Linked DNA regions of Saccharomyces cerevisiae S288C. The gene in region 4 interacts genetically with the main gene of each other region. Each region holds a gene or a part of one and is shown on either strand. Other genes may lie near its edges.

Region 1 (3,566 bases), on a different chromosome or scaffold from region 4:
AACGACTAACAGTTCCAGTACGTTTAGTCTGGTCACTTCAAGTGACAACAATTGGTGGATTCCAACTGAGTTAATCACGCAGGCACCAGAAGCTGCATCCACTGCATCTTCTACCGTTGGAGGAACACAAACTATGACTTTGCCCCATGCAATTGCAGCCGCGACACAAGTTCCCGAGCCTGAGGGCTACACCCTAATCACAATAGGGTTCAAAAAAGCTTTGAACTACGAATTTGTTGTATCAGAACCAAAATCATCGGCTCAAATCTTCGGATACTTGCCTGAAGCTCTGAACACACCTTTTAAGAACGTATTCACAAACATTACGGTACTACAAATAGTGCCATTACAGGATGACTCACTCAACTACTTAGTAAGTGTTGCTGAAGTATACTTTCCAACTGCAGAAATAGAGGAGCTGTCAAATCTAATTACCAACTCTTCAAGCGCTTTTTACACGGATGGAATGGGTACAGCAAAATCTATGGCTGCAATGGTTGATTCCTCAATACCGCTAACGGGCCTCTTACACGATAGTAACAGCAACTCTGGCGGATCTTCGGACGGATCCTCCTCCAGTAATTCGAACTCAGGATCTTCAGGTTCAGGATCTAATTCGAACTCCGGTGTGTCTTCATCTTCCGGAAATTCCTATCAAGATGCCGGTACTTTGGAATATTCATCCAAATCTAACTCCAACGTATCCACTTCTAGCAAATCAAAGAAAAAAATCATTGGTTTAGTTATCGGCGTTGTTGTTGGTGGATGCTTATATATTTTATTCATGATTTTTGCTTTCAAGTATATCATAAGAAGGCGGATTCAAAGTCAAGAAATTATCAAGAACCCAGAAATTTCCAGTATCAGTTCAAGTGAATTTGGTGGAGAGAAAAATTACAATAATGAAAAGAGAATGAGCGTTCAAGAATCCATAACACAATCTATGCGAATTCAAAATTGGATGGATGATAGTTACTATGGTCACGGGTTGACAAATAATGACTCAACTCCAACCAGGCACAATACATCGAGTTCCATACCAAAAATTTCAAGACCAATTGCTAGCCAAAACTCCCTGGGTTGGAACGAAGTTTGATAGCAATGTCTGCAGAGACTTTCTCCGCTTGCATAACCTTATAAACTTATAACGATACCTACTTATTTCATATCTTATGTATAGTTCTCCTTCAAGGAGACGTTGTTTTAATACTTTTATCTATTCCATTTATCATTATCTACTTTGTAATCAAAGATCGAAGCACTGCTGTGTGCGTTGATTTGGGCCTGACACGAGAAGAAAGTGCGTTACGTACATCAAGATTTTATTCAAAATCCAGCGTCTCCTCCGCAAAAAAGTTCAGAATACATTTGAATGAGTCCTCTGGATTCTCCAACAGTAAATTATGCCCAGTATTAAATTCTCGGACATCAGCACAGGGAAAGTTATACCTCAGGAGGGAATAATCATTGTTAATAAAGTTAGACTGCAGGCCTTTCATGAATAAAACTTTACGACTGGCTGTGCCTTTTTGGAAGAAGTCCCTTTGGTTCGATAGATCCGGCCATTTTTTCACTTCATCCAACAGGTTCGGCATGCTGGAGAGAGGCATTGAGTAATTTATATAAGGATCATGCTGTTGTTGTTCATAGTGTAACTGTGCTTGGTGTACATTATTGGATTTTACAGAAAGAAAACCGTTGGCAAAGTAGAGTGCCACAGCTCCACCACATTTCCTCTTATTACATTCCAAACTTTTGAAAAGCTCAAGAACTTTTTTCTGCCAGCTGGGGGAACCTCTTAAAATCTTGACATCTCTGCGGATAATCCGCATTATTAAGTCATAGTTTTGTAATATCATGGGATCTAATTCTGGGGTTTCATAAGGCGGTAAATCAATTGATATACACTTTCGTATATTAATATTCTTGTACAATGTGGTTAATAATGCAATTTTACCACCCATAGAGAATCCCAGTAAATAAATAGGTCTCTCCAAGCCAATATGAGTTTCAATAAAATAAATCAAATCATTGGTCAGTGTAGTGTAGTCATAAGGTATTGCTTTTGGTGAAATGCCATGATTTCTTACATCAACAGAAAAAATATCCGCGTCAAGCTTCCTTGAAAGAAGCTTATTGAGAGAATGAAACATCACGTGTGAGCCCAAAAGGCCATGGATGTTAATAATTGCAGGTCTTTGCTCGAATTTTATTAGCGATGAAACATCTGAGGGTAAACGCGTTCTATGGAATGATAAATCGACAATTATTTTATAAGGTAGCGCTTTATTATGCGCTAGTCTCGACATTTGTAAGCCCTCTTCCCACGGTTCCTTTTATTTTGCAGTTTGTATACGTCTCGACCTTGGCATGAGACAAAAACAGTTTCCCCAAAAGACGCGCTGTGGTATTCAGTAAAGGCTGGTTTCTATGATAGGTTGAGTTTAGAATAATTTTTAAACAGGATACTAAGATAAAGCAAATATTTCAATCATGTCCAGATTAAGAAGATTCAATAGAAAGATCTTAAGCTTGAGTTCTGACTACACTCATGACGGTGAATCTGATCAAGAAGATGTATCCATATTACCATTAGATACAGAAGAGCAGGAAGAACTCATACAAAAATTTGAGACTAATGCTCACATCACAAATAAGCTGTACATAAACCTGTTAAGCATATTGTATTTGCTATATGGCGGACTGCTAATGATACTCGTAAGAAAATCGCGAGGGTATATTAAGTTAGCACTTCTTGCTGGCGCTAATTCTTTGATCTGTTCGTGCATCACACTTAGATATGATATTGTAAACGACTATCTTTTGTTCAAAAAGTTTAAGTTAAGAGTGAGCAATTTTTCTATTAACATAATAAACATTATTTTACTAGTACTTATGGCTTGGATAAGTTTCAATCATGTGGTCGAAGATAAAAAAACGGTGCTCTGTTTGCAAGTTCCAATGTTTTTATTCTGGGTCGCTGTGCTTGTGAAAAGATGGGCTCGAAATATCGAAGATGAAATCGCAGATCTAAGATGCTTGAAATACAAATACAAAAATGCTTAGTTCTATATCGCGACGTATTGTAATATTCATTGGTTAGTATATTCCGGAATATTTATTACTAATATTACAAATTGATTGGTTGGCAGCTCCTTATTTGTGAACAAGGCCAAAAAGTACTGCTACGAGCTTATTCAAGCATACATATATATAGCTTTAATTCCAAAATCATCGTCACAGGAATCTGCTTTAAAATCCAGTAAAAGACTAACCTAGTCAAAGGGGACATAGAATAGCTTACAAGAGGATTCAGTTTGGAGCTAACACTTTCTTCGGAACTTTCCAGCTTCGTACAAAAGTGCAGATACGTTAAAAGATCAGTTTATCCGTATGTTTTGAAAAGGCTATCTAGTGCAGAAGTCTCTAATTTCAATATAATAGCTTGCTAAATAGTCTTCGAGGCGTTGCATATCTATCAAGAAAACAACATGACCAATGTACCTAGAATTATAATTAAGTAGATGATGCCAATGAGGTGAGCGAGCAAAACCATGTCAATTGGA
Region 2 (2,956 bases), on a different chromosome or scaffold from region 4:
GTGACTTCACTGTTTTCCACAGAATGTCTGCCAACATTTCTGAAACCACTGCTATGATCACTGACATTGCTACCGCCCCAGCTGAAATTGACAGATGTATCAGAACCACTTACGTCACCCAAAGACCAGTCTACTTAGGTTTGCCAGCTAACTTGGTCGACTTGAACGTCCCAGCTAAGTTGTTGCAAACTCCAATTGACATGTCTTTGAAGCCAAACGATGCTGAATCCGAAAAGGAAGTCATTGACACCATCTTGGCTTTGGTCAAGGATGCTAAGAACCCAGTTATCTTGGCTGATGCTTGTTGTTCCAGACACGACGTCAAGGCTGAAACTAAGAAGTTGATTGACTTGACTCAATTCCCAGCTTTCGTCACCCCAATGGGTAAGGGTTCCATTGACGAACAACACCCAAGATACGGTGGTGTTTACGTCGGTACCTTGTCCAAGCCAGAAGTTAAGGAAGCCGTTGAATCTGCTGACTTGATTTTGTCTGTCGGTGCTTTGTTGTCTGATTTCAACACCGGTTCTTTCTCTTACTCTTACAAGACCAAGAACATTGTCGAATTCCACTCCGACCACATGAAGATCAGAAACGCCACTTTCCCAGGTGTCCAAATGAAATTCGTTTTGCAAAAGTTGTTGACCACTATTGCTGACGCCGCTAAGGGTTACAAGCCAGTTGCTGTCCCAGCTAGAACTCCAGCTAACGCTGCTGTCCCAGCTTCTACCCCATTGAAGCAAGAATGGATGTGGAACCAATTGGGTAACTTCTTGCAAGAAGGTGATGTTGTCATTGCTGAAACCGGTACCTCCGCTTTCGGTATCAACCAAACCACTTTCCCAAACAACACCTACGGTATCTCTCAAGTCTTATGGGGTTCCATTGGTTTCACCACTGGTGCTACCTTGGGTGCTGCTTTCGCTGCTGAAGAAATTGATCCAAAGAAGAGAGTTATCTTATTCATTGGTGACGGTTCTTTGCAATTGACTGTTCAAGAAATCTCCACCATGATCAGATGGGGCTTGAAGCCATACTTGTTCGTCTTGAACAACGATGGTTACACCATTGAAAAGTTGATTCACGGTCCAAAGGCTCAATACAACGAAATTCAAGGTTGGGACCACCTATCCTTGTTGCCAACTTTCGGTGCTAAGGACTATGAAACCCACAGAGTCGCTACCACCGGTGAATGGGACAAGTTGACCCAAGACAAGTCTTTCAACGACAACTCTAAGATCAGAATGATTGAAATCATGTTGCCAGTCTTCGATGCTCCACAAAACTTGGTTGAACAAGCTAAGTTGACTGCTGCTACCAACGCTAAGCAATAAGCGATTTAATCTCTAATTATTAGTTAAAGTTTTATAAGCATTTTTATGTAACGAAAAATAAATTGGTTCATATTATTACTGCACTGTCACTTACCATGGAAAGACCAGACAAGAAGTTGCCGACAGTCTGTTGAATTGGCCTGGTTAGGCTTAAGTCTGGGTCCGCTTCTTTACAAATTTGGAGAATTTCTCTTAAACGATATGTATATTCTTTTCGTTGGAAAAGATGTCTTCCAAAAAAAAAACCGATGAATTAGTGGAACCAAGGAAAAAAAAAGAGGTATCCTTGATTAAGGAACACTGTTTAAACAGTGTGGTTTCCAAAACCCTGAAACTGCATTAGTGTAATAGAAGACTAGACACCTCGATACAAATAATGGTTACTCAATTCAAAACTGCCAGCGAATTCGACTCTGCAATTGCTCAAGACAAGCTAGTTGTCGTAGATTTCTACGCCACTTGGTGCGGTCCATGTAAAATGATTGCTCCAATGATTGAAAAATTCTCTGAACAATACCCACAAGCTGATTTCTATAAATTGGATGTCGATGAATTGGGTGATGTTGCACAAAAGAATGAAGTTTCCGCTATGCCAACTTTGCTTCTATTCAAGAACGGTAAGGAAGTTGCAAAGGTTGTTGGTGCCAACCCAGCGGCTATTAAGCAAGCCATTGCTGCTAATGCTTAAACTCACCCAATGACCGATATATTGTGTTTCTATACTGTGTTTGTTATATATAGTTTACCTTTTTTAGACAAAAAAACAGAATTATATATTATCCTTATGTTTTGTTATTTACTCGGAAGCACACAATTGCCCACCACACAAAGGAGGTGGAGGAAACAATTAATTTTTCACACAAGAGGTATATATTTGGAGAAAAATGAAGAATGAGATACTTTTCTTCCGATTACTTAAGTATTACGGCTCTGAAATTTTCTCGAGCATTAGATGATTAAATCAAAATGACATAGTATTTCGCAACCTTTCAGTTGGGCTTTGTTTAAGAAGTGGAATACTTTTGCTTGAGTTGTTTAGTTTTATTTTATCCACTGTTGTCTTAACAAATATTTTCAAGACCGGTAAGCCGAAGATGAAAAATCATTATTAACTCATTTTTTGAACAAAAATATAAACAAAAGAAAGGCAACGCACAATTTTAGAGATACATAAAACGCAGTGGATGTTAAAAATAACAGCGGTACAGAAACGCCTGTCTCGCTCCAATAATAATTATACAAATTTGAAACCGAACGCAATGTGCCAAGAAATGTAAACACACTATAGAAAAAAATAGAACGGTGCACATTGTGCTAGCATATCTGCTTGGTTCTGAACAAGAAGCACCTGGCCACTTTCTCCTAGCCCAATTCTTGCCAAGTTTTCAACCTCAATCTTTTGTGTTTGAACAAGCATGTATGAGGGGTCAAAATTTAGTGGAGGCCGCTTACAATCCTTCTATTTCCTCTGGACCTCATTAGCCGTCTGGCCAGACCTAAGCGTCATAATCTGGAGAATTTCATTGCATGCGAGAATATGATAAGTAAGAACTTGTTTATTTATACAAGTTCCACCCACTCATACACGGCTACAATTATGACGTATAATAACGTTTCGTCTA
Region 3 (4,404 bases), on a different chromosome or scaffold from region 4:
CGTATAAGGCAACAATAGCGATGTCTCCCATCAATTGACTGATAAATTCCTGCAAACTATCATTTTTTTTTTTTCATCCTTGTGCCGCGTCTGTAGCCGAAAATCTGAGAGTGCATGAATCTTAAAAAACAGAAGACTCATCGCCGTCTTTGGCACATTGGGGTTGTCTTTGACTTCTTTTGCTTATTTTTGCTCACTTTGCTTATTTTACCTATTTAACTAGAGGTTCTAAAAGAATAGCCAACCAGCGTGTAGTTCTTATTTCTAATCCTTGTCTTGTTAAGTTGAAACTTGTGATATTGGCTGAACAAATTCTCCGCATTTAGACAACACACAAATTACAGCTTTCCCCTAGTAACGATTGTTGATTGAGCTCAGACAATACGCGCAATTTAAAAACGTTTTATAGTGTAAGAGAAGACAAGTACAAGAAAAAAATGGTTGCCAATTGGGTACTTGCTCTTACGAGGCAGTTTGACCCCTTCATGTTTATGATGGTCATGGGTGTCGGCATTTCATCGAATATTCTATATAGCTTCCCATATCCTGCAAGGTGGCTAAGAATATGCTCCTACATCATGTTTGCTATCGCTTGCCTTATTTTCATTGCTGTGCAGGCACTACAAATATTACATTTGATTGTCTATATTAAGGAGAAAAGCTTCAGAGAATATTTTAATGACTTTTTCAGAAATATGAAGCACAATTTATTTTGGGGTACTTATCCCATGGGGTTAGTTACAATTATAAATTTCTTAGGAGCACTCTCGAAAGCGAACACGACGAAGAGCCCCACTAATGCCAGAAATTTGATGATATTTGTTTACGTCTTGTGGTGGTATGATCTCGCAGTCTGTCTAGTAATAGCGTGGGGTATCTCGTTTCTCATCTGGCATGACTATTACCCTTTGGAAGGGATTGGGAATTATCCTTCATATAATATCAAAATGGCATCCGAAAACATGAAAAGTGTATTGCTACTGGATATCATTCCGCTGGTTGTCGTCGCTTCAAGTTGTGGAACATTCACAATGTCAGAAATATTCTTCCATGCGTTTAATAGAAACATTCAACTGATAACGTTGGTCATATGTGCCTTAACGTGGCTGCATGCCATTATCTTCGTCTTCATACTGATTGCGATATACTTCTGGAGTCTTTATATTAATAAGATACCACCAATGACACAGGTTTTCACCTTATTCCTGCTTTTGGGCCCGATGGGCCAAGGAAGTTTTGGAGTCTTATTGCTTACAGATAATATAAAAAAATATGCGGGCAAATATTACCCAACAGATAACATTACAAGAGAACAAGAGATATTGACTATTGCAGTTCCATGGTGTTTCAAAATTCTAGGCATGGTTTCTGCTATGGCATTGCTCGCTATGGGCTATTTTTTCACCGTGATTTCTGTCGTTTCAATCCTGTCGTACTACAATAAAAAAGAGATTGAAAACGAGACAGGAAAAGTGAAGAGAGTTTATACCTTCCACAAAGGTTTTTGGGGGATGACTTTCCCGATGGGTACTATGTCTTTAGGAAACGAAGAGTTATATGTGCAGTATAACCAGTACGTTCCCTTATATGCATTTAGAGTCCTAGGAACCATATACGGCGGTGTTTGCGTTTGTTGGTCAATTCTATGCCTTTTATGCACATTGCATGAGTATTCTAAAAAGATGCTGCATGCTGCCCGTAAATCTTCATTATTTTCAGAGTCAGGTACGGAAAAGACGACAGTTTCTCCGTATAACAGCATTGAAAGCGTGGAAGAATCAAACTCGGCTCTAGATTTTACGCGTTTAGCATAAAATTGTTGGTTTTATACGTACATAATTGGCAAGCATTTCATGTAGGAGTCTCAATAGATAGTTTAATTCATTTGCACGGCGCTTTGCTGCTTTTGCTTCTTCACGTTGGTTTTCACTATGCCTGATATTTTTTGACGTCACTTAGTAAGCACGACCCTTGTCAATTTTTCGAGGATTTCGGAGCTTTCCATTTGGAATCTACTATTAAAATCAGTCTAAAAAAGTATAAGAAACACTTCTGGTTTTTCTCATGCGCTTCTCACTCTCAGTATATTTTGCTGCTTTCCTTCATATGTATATATATCTATTTACATATTAGTTTACAGAACTTTATGCTTTCTGCAACCAAACAAACATTTAGAAGTCTACAGATAAGAACTATGTCCACGAACACCAAGCATTACGATTACCTCGTCATCGGGGGTGGCTCAGGGGGTGTTGCTTCCGCAAGAAGAGCTGCATCTTATGGTGCGAAGACATTACTAGTTGAAGCTAAGGCTCTTGGTGGTACCTGTGTTAACGTGGGTTGTGTTCCGAAGAAAGTCATGTGGTATGCTTCTGACCTCGCTACTAGAGTATCCCATGCAAATGAATATGGATTATATCAGAATCTTCCATTAGATAAAGAGCATTTGACTTTTAATTGGCCAGAATTTAAGCAGAAAAGGGATGCTTATGTCCATAGGTTGAACGGTATATACCAGAAGAATTTAGAAAAAGAAAAAGTGGATGTTGTATTTGGATGGGCTAGATTCAATAAGGACGGTAATGTTGAAGTTCAGAAAAGGGATAATACTACTGAAGTTTACTCCGCTAACCATATTTTAGTTGCGACCGGTGGAAAGGCTATTTTCCCCGAAAACATTCCAGGTTTCGAATTAGGTACTGATTCTGATGGGTTCTTTAGATTGGAAGAACAACCTAAGAAAGTTGTTGTTGTTGGCGCTGGTTATATTGGTATTGAGCTAGCAGGTGTGTTCCATGGGCTGGGATCCGAAACGCACTTGGTAATTAGAGGTGAAACTGTCTTGAGAAAATTTGATGAATGCATCCAGAACACTATTACTGACCATTACGTAAAGGAAGGCATCAACGTTCATAAACTATCCAAAATTGTTAAGGTGGAGAAAAATGTAGAAACTGACAAACTGAAAATACATATGAATGACTCAAAGTCCATCGATGACGTTGACGAATTAATTTGGACAATTGGACGTAAATCCCATCTAGGTATGGGTTCAGAAAATGTAGGTATAAAGCTGAACTCTCATGACCAAATAATTGCTGATGAATATCAGAACACCAATGTTCCAAACATTTATTCTCTAGGTGACGTTGTTGGAAAAGTTGAATTGACACCTGTCGCTATTGCAGCGGGCAGAAAGCTGTCTAATAGACTGTTTGGTCCAGAGAAATTCCGTAATGACAAACTAGATTACGAGAACGTCCCCAGCGTAATTTTCTCACATCCTGAAGCCGGTTCCATTGGTATTTCTGAGAAGGAAGCCATTGAAAAGTACGGTAAGGAGAATATAAAGGTCTACAATTCCAAATTTACCGCCATGTACTATGCTATGTTGAGTGAGAAATCACCCACAAGATATAAAATTGTTTGTGCGGGACCAAATGAAAAGGTTGTCGGTCTGCACATTGTTGGTGATTCCTCTGCAGAAATCTTGCAAGGGTTCGGTGTTGCTATAAAGATGGGTGCCACTAAGGCTGATTTCGATAATTGTGTTGCTATTCATCCGACTAGCGCAGAAGAATTGGTTACTATGAGATGAAGCAACGAAACTAGACGTCCAATCTGCTGTTGCTATACTGGACTTTTGTACTCTTGTAAACAATCTTATATAGCATCCTGAAATACGTAGTAATTTTGTCATTTCTGTTCAAGGACAAGGGTTCCTTTTTTTTTCAGACTATTAGCTACTGTGGACTCGCTTGGATATTCAGTTGAGGATACATTCCGACTCTCGTTTACAATACATATGATTATTTTTCTTTTTGTTAATTATATAAAAAATAAAGTTATTTGATTTTAAGCTTAAAAATACACAAAATACAGAATAAGAAAGGAGTTTTTGAACAAAAGAATTTATCTTTTACTGCTTTCTAACTTTAAGCCTTCAAAGAAGAAGCTCTTCTCTTTCTGATTTCAGCCTTCTCAGCCTTTCTTTCAGACAATCTCTTAGCCAACAATTGAGCGTATTCGGCAGCAGCTTCTCTTTGAGCTTGAGCGTTTCTGACCTTCAAAGCTCTTTGGTGTCTCTTTCTTTGCAATCTTTGAGGAGTAACCAATCTTTGGATCTTTGGAGCCTTGGTGTAAGTCTTTTCACCCTTGGTGACTTCTCTTCTGATGACGAAATCACGAACGTCATCTTCCTTGGACAAACCGAAGAACTTTCTGATGTTGTTAGCTCTCTTTGGACCCAATCTCTTTGGAACAGTAGTGTCAGTTAGACCTTCCAATTCTTGCTCACCCTTCTTGACAATGACCAAAGCCAAGACAGCCAAATCTGGACCAACAATGGCACCTCTGACGGACTTTCTCTTTCTTTCACCATCACGTCTTGGTCTGTAACAAGAA
Region 4 (4,568 bases):
CTGGGGTACTTGCGTCAGCTGTTCAGATCTTCTCTTACCGCTGTCGTGTCTTGTCTACAATGTCAGGTTGGCAGCCTAAGTTTTGGATTTAATAACCCTAGGGCTTTTCATTCTTTTATCAATCAGAACATTTACATGAAGAGGGCTGGAATAAAAAAAAAATATTCGGTTCTCCTCCATGCATAATGACGTAGTATTCTTATTGGCGCCAAACATAGTGTCATAATGCTTTTTCAACGATTTTAAAGTAACTCTTAGTGGATTGGAAAGGTCGCCTTTTCGATGGTAGCGTGCATTTTCTCGTCATTTTTTTTTTACTTGTCGTCTTTTCTTTACTGCTTCACCTCTTATCAAGCAAGTGTTTTTCGTGTCTCCCTGTGCCAGTCAGAAAATACATATGATTGGCAACTGTATATCCATTGAGATCGACTCGGTTATCTGTTAATGGAAATTATTGCTAGTAATTATAAATACCTAAAAACAACATCCTAACAGGCTTAAGTAACACTACTAGATGTTGAAGCAGCAGCGTTGTCAATTTCTATTCATTTGACATTTTTCCGAAATCATAAGCGGGCGTTTGAACTATGTATAGCGCCTATGTGGTATTAACCCATACTATATCATATAAAATTTTTCCTCGGAAGAGTGCCAGAATGAAATTTCTTGTTCCTTGGTGAAGGTCAAGAACTAGCAAAGAAAAGAACATCTGTTTATGAATTTGACAAGAATTTTGTTTTAACACCAATATAATATCACCTTTATAAAATTTACTGAGAAATTAAATACTGTATAAGTCATTAAAATATGCATATTGAGCTTGTTTAGTTTATTTCCTGCTAAACAAACTCTTGTAAAATGGTTGGTCATCATGCATTAGGTCATCAGCGTTGTAGTCAGCGCCTCTCTTGGATACTGGAACCCAGGAAGCTGATTTCCATGGTAGAACACCTTCGGCGTACATATCATTAACTTCTTCTAATGATAAACCTTTAGTTTCTGGAACGAAGAAAAAGACGTAAAAGTAAGCGAAAACCATACAGCCCATGAAAACGTAACCGTAGTAGAAGTTGATGGCACCAGTAATAAATGGGGTGAAGAAACTAATCAAGAAACCCCAGATCCAGTTAGCAGCACTGGCAATAGACATACACTTGGATTTGACTCTTAATGGGAAACATTCTGAAATAACAACGTAAGCAATTGGGGCCCAGGTAGTAGCGAAACAGAAAATGTAGAAACATGCGAAAACAATCATACAGTTACCAGCACCCTTTGAAGATGGTTGATCTTGACCGTTTGGCCATAATCTGGTAACACCAACAGAGGCATAGACAACATAACAGCAGACCATACCGACAGCACCCCACATCAAACAGTTACGACGGCCAAAACGGTCAACGGTGTACAGAGAACAACAAGTGGAGAAGAAGTTGACGACACCAAAGACAATAGAAGTTTCAAAAGAGTCACTTAAACCGACAGCCTGGAAAACAATGGTACCGTAGTAGAAGAAATAGTTATCACCAGTTAATTGTTGTAGAGATTGAATCATGATACCCATCATAGTACGTTGAAACATGGCTGGTTTACCAGTGAATAATTCGCCCCAAGATGCAGTACCAGCGGCTCTCATTTCTTCGACACTGGCTTCGATAGTTTCCAACTCATATTGAATGTATGGATGGTCAGGTGGGCATTTGTTAACTTTAGCTAAAGAAGCCCTGGCTTCGTCGATTCTGCCAGCTTCAACCAAATAACGTGGAGATTCAGGAACAAACATCATACCACCAATCATAAATAAGGCCCAGGCGAAACACAAACCTAATGGAACTCTCCATTGGACAGAGTTTGAGTAATTCTTGGTACCAAAATTGGTACAGTAACCTAAGAAAATACCTAAAGTAATCATGACTTGGTAACATGAAACCAAGGTGCCTCTCATTTCACTGGGGGCGACCTCAGATATTAGCATGGGAGATAAAACTGTGATACCACCGACACCTAAACCAGAGATAATTCTACCAATGAAATATTGGTACCACTTGTTGATCGAGGCTATTTGAATAATGATACCGATAGTGTAGATTACTACAACGACAATCAAACCGATTCTACGACCATACATATCACCTAGCTTGGCTAAGACGATACCACCAATGGCACAACCAATGTTAAAAATAGAGACAATTAAACCAGTTCTCACCTTGGACAAGTAATGACTACCGTCGTGGTGCTTCATACCAAATCTTCTTAGAAAATCAGTTTGAGCAACAAAACCAGAAATGGTACCAGTATCCCATCCAAATATGAAACCACCGAAAGCAACCATAACACAACAGATAGAAACCGTTACGTAGACACCTTTTCCGGTGTTTGGAGGGGCAACGGCGGGTTGCACTTGACTTTCACTTAAGTTGTCGTGAAAACTTTCATTTTTACCTTCTGGAGTATTCATGGCCTTTGAACGACCAGATTCCAATTCATATGAGTTGGATGAATTGGATTTCTGAGGAGATATTAGATCGGGAGTTGAATTCATGATTTTACGTATATCAACTAGTTGACGATTATGATATCTTTATAGATTTTAAGGTGGGGAAAGAACATGAGACCCCAGATGGAATTGATTATGGGGACATTGTTGCCTTTATATATAATTTCAATATACTAATTCAAATGATTAAAAACGTGAGGGGGACACGCAACTTCGGGTGTTAAGAAATATTTTGCTACATTAGATAATGGTGGAGTTTCCTGGCTTGTCGGATAAAAGCCATCAAATGTCGCAGCAGCTCATGTTTACGTTTGCTGTCTTCTGCCCACGTCATATGAGTGGTATTCTTCTATCAGCACTTGATGAATATTCTTTTTCTCATATATCTGAAAGACAAAAGATCGGCACGGCAATGCCCTGCAGCATTTCTTCCTAGTTTTTCCGAATTTCCATTACGTATTGGATCTTGTGCGCATATTTGTCAGTCCTTCACGGAAAAAAAAAAAGAGCACTGGGTCACTTCGGAAAAACTTTTGACTCAATGCAACAGTGTCATAATCCTTTGCGCTGTCTCTTTGAAGAAAAATCAGGAGTGCAAGATATCGATTAATTCCTTGGAAGTTATGATGGTTAGTCTTAGTTTAACTCTCTTGAAGAAGGGTTTTTTCAGTTGGTCAACACTCTTTAGAGGTAAAAAAAAAAAAAAAAAAAAAAAAAAGAGAATTCTTCATGTAATTTACCATGATTCTACGTTTTTGCAAGCAAAAATGAAGATAATCCGAGCGCATGCGCAAGTAGTCCCTGCCATGCCGCTTCGGAAAAACTTTCGAAACCAATACTCCTTACATCCGCCTTGAATTTAGGACCTACAATTGTTGTCTCTTCTGCTTGAACCAATAAGCCCTAGAAACCTTACACCCTAATTTGCACAAGAAAACTACGAAAAAATTTTTTCCTCTTTTTTCCGCAGCTCCAATCTCGCCCTGCTATTTTTTTGGTTCGGAGAAAAATAGTCGGTCGATATGAATTGAAGTTTCATTGTGGCCACTCGTTTAGGAATGGAATAACCTCCGCGAATGGAAAAAAAGAACTCGGAATATCAAAAATTCCGGCTCAAAGGAAAAATTTGCTTCAGGAGGGGGGAATTATATTCCAGATGAGACCTGCAAGGATTTCTGTGTGAGGTTTTCTCGGAGGAATAATAGTTTTCCAAAAATTACTTTTGGCAACTACGTGAATATAATTGACTACGGATATCCTTCGAGAAGGCCATAAAAAGAACCGTGACAGGGCCAAACAGAAAAATAATGAAGACAAGTTTGCTTTTTCTCTCACTGTATTTGAGGATCGGAAGCTTTTTGCACTGAAAATATTCTGGGTTAACAAGGTTTAAAGAAGCAAACTGCCACAAAGTATATGAGAGTATAACCGGACGGTACCTATACTTTGAAGTTGGAATAAATACGGGGTAGACAAAAAGGATGTGTTTCTGTATGTCTGATGAGAATGATGTCATCAAAGAACGTAAACAACAGTAACTGTCTATATTCTTGCTTTTTATTATGCGCTGTTACAGCAGGTAGCGGAGTTTTCAGTTCTTTCCCTAGTATGTAGTATGAAGGATAATACGGTAAAAGAACGGGGCTCTTGATTCATCATATAAATTTATTTTCCCCTGTTGAAACCTCGAGTAACCGTCCTCACTGTTTTATTACCAAGGATGAGCTCGAGCAGTTGTAAGAGAGAAGTGGGCAGAAAAGTATAAGTAACAAGAAACGATATACAAGTTCTTGTTGTTAGGCGTAGCAACCCTTTCTCCCCTGGTTTGATCCTACTTAAAATAAAGAAAAAAAACAAAAACGTCATGATGATTTTGATATTATTAGACATACGTAATTTAGTTGAATTAAAGGAATAACAGGCAGCCCTATTAACCACGGACAAAATATCTCTGCATATGATTGCATTATTTGTAAACTATGAATGAACATATGAACGAAAACGATTAATATTAATATTAAAATTTGAAATGGTGCAATGCTGAACATTGCAAGTATGCGAAAATAGTTGA

What was found.
Region 1: mutations in HXT1 (region 4) and YGR016W together harm fitness more than expected from each alone (negative genetic interaction), as found in Saccharomyces cerevisiae (one large-scale study listed by BioGRID).
Region 2: mutations in HXT1 (region 4) and TRX1 together harm fitness more than expected from each alone (negative genetic interaction), as found in Saccharomyces cerevisiae (one large-scale study listed by BioGRID).
Region 3: mutations in HXT1 (region 4) and GLR1 together harm fitness less than expected from each alone (positive genetic interaction), as found in Saccharomyces cerevisiae (one large-scale study listed by BioGRID).

The regions. Positions count from the first base shown.
Region 1 is NC_001139.9:519,768-523,333, forward strand, and holds YGR016W (uncharacterized protein), read left to right. Parts: upstream 1-2,493; coding exon 2,494-3,066; downstream 3,067-3,566. Other genes in the region: MSB2 (Msb2p), read left to right, coding at 1-1,096; EAT1 (putative hydrolase), read right to left, coding at 1,323-2,309; YGR016C-A (uncharacterized protein), read right to left, coding at 3,479-3,566.
Region 2 is NC_001144.5:230,768-233,723, reverse strand, and holds TRX1 (thioredoxin TRX1), read left to right. Parts: upstream 1-1,710; coding exon 1,711-2,022; downstream 2,023-2,956. Other genes in the region: PDC1 (indolepyruvate decarboxylase 1), read left to right, coding at 1-1,334. UniProt on the Saccharomyces cerevisiae protein: Participates as a hydrogen donor in redox reactions through the reversible oxidation of its active center dithiol to a disulfide, accompanied by the transfer of 2 electrons and 2 protons.
Region 3 is NC_001148.4:373,356-377,759, forward strand, and holds GLR1 (glutathione-disulfide reductase GLR1), read left to right. Parts: upstream 1-2,146; coding exon 2,147-3,598; downstream 3,599-4,404. Other genes in the region: SSU1 (Ssu1p), read left to right, coding at 438-1,814; 40S ribosomal protein eS6 RPS6A, read right to left, coding at 3,936-4,404. UniProt on the Saccharomyces cerevisiae protein: Catalyzes the reduction of glutathione disulfide (GSSG) to reduced glutathione (GSH). Constitutes the major mechanism to maintain a high GSH:GSSG ratio in the cytosol.
Region 4 is NC_001140.6:290,084-294,651, forward strand, and holds HXT1 (hexose transporter HXT1), read right to left. Parts: upstream 2,543-4,568; coding exon 830-2,542; downstream 1-829. UniProt on the Saccharomyces cerevisiae protein: Low-affinity glucose transporter. HXT1 is as well involved in the transport of mannose.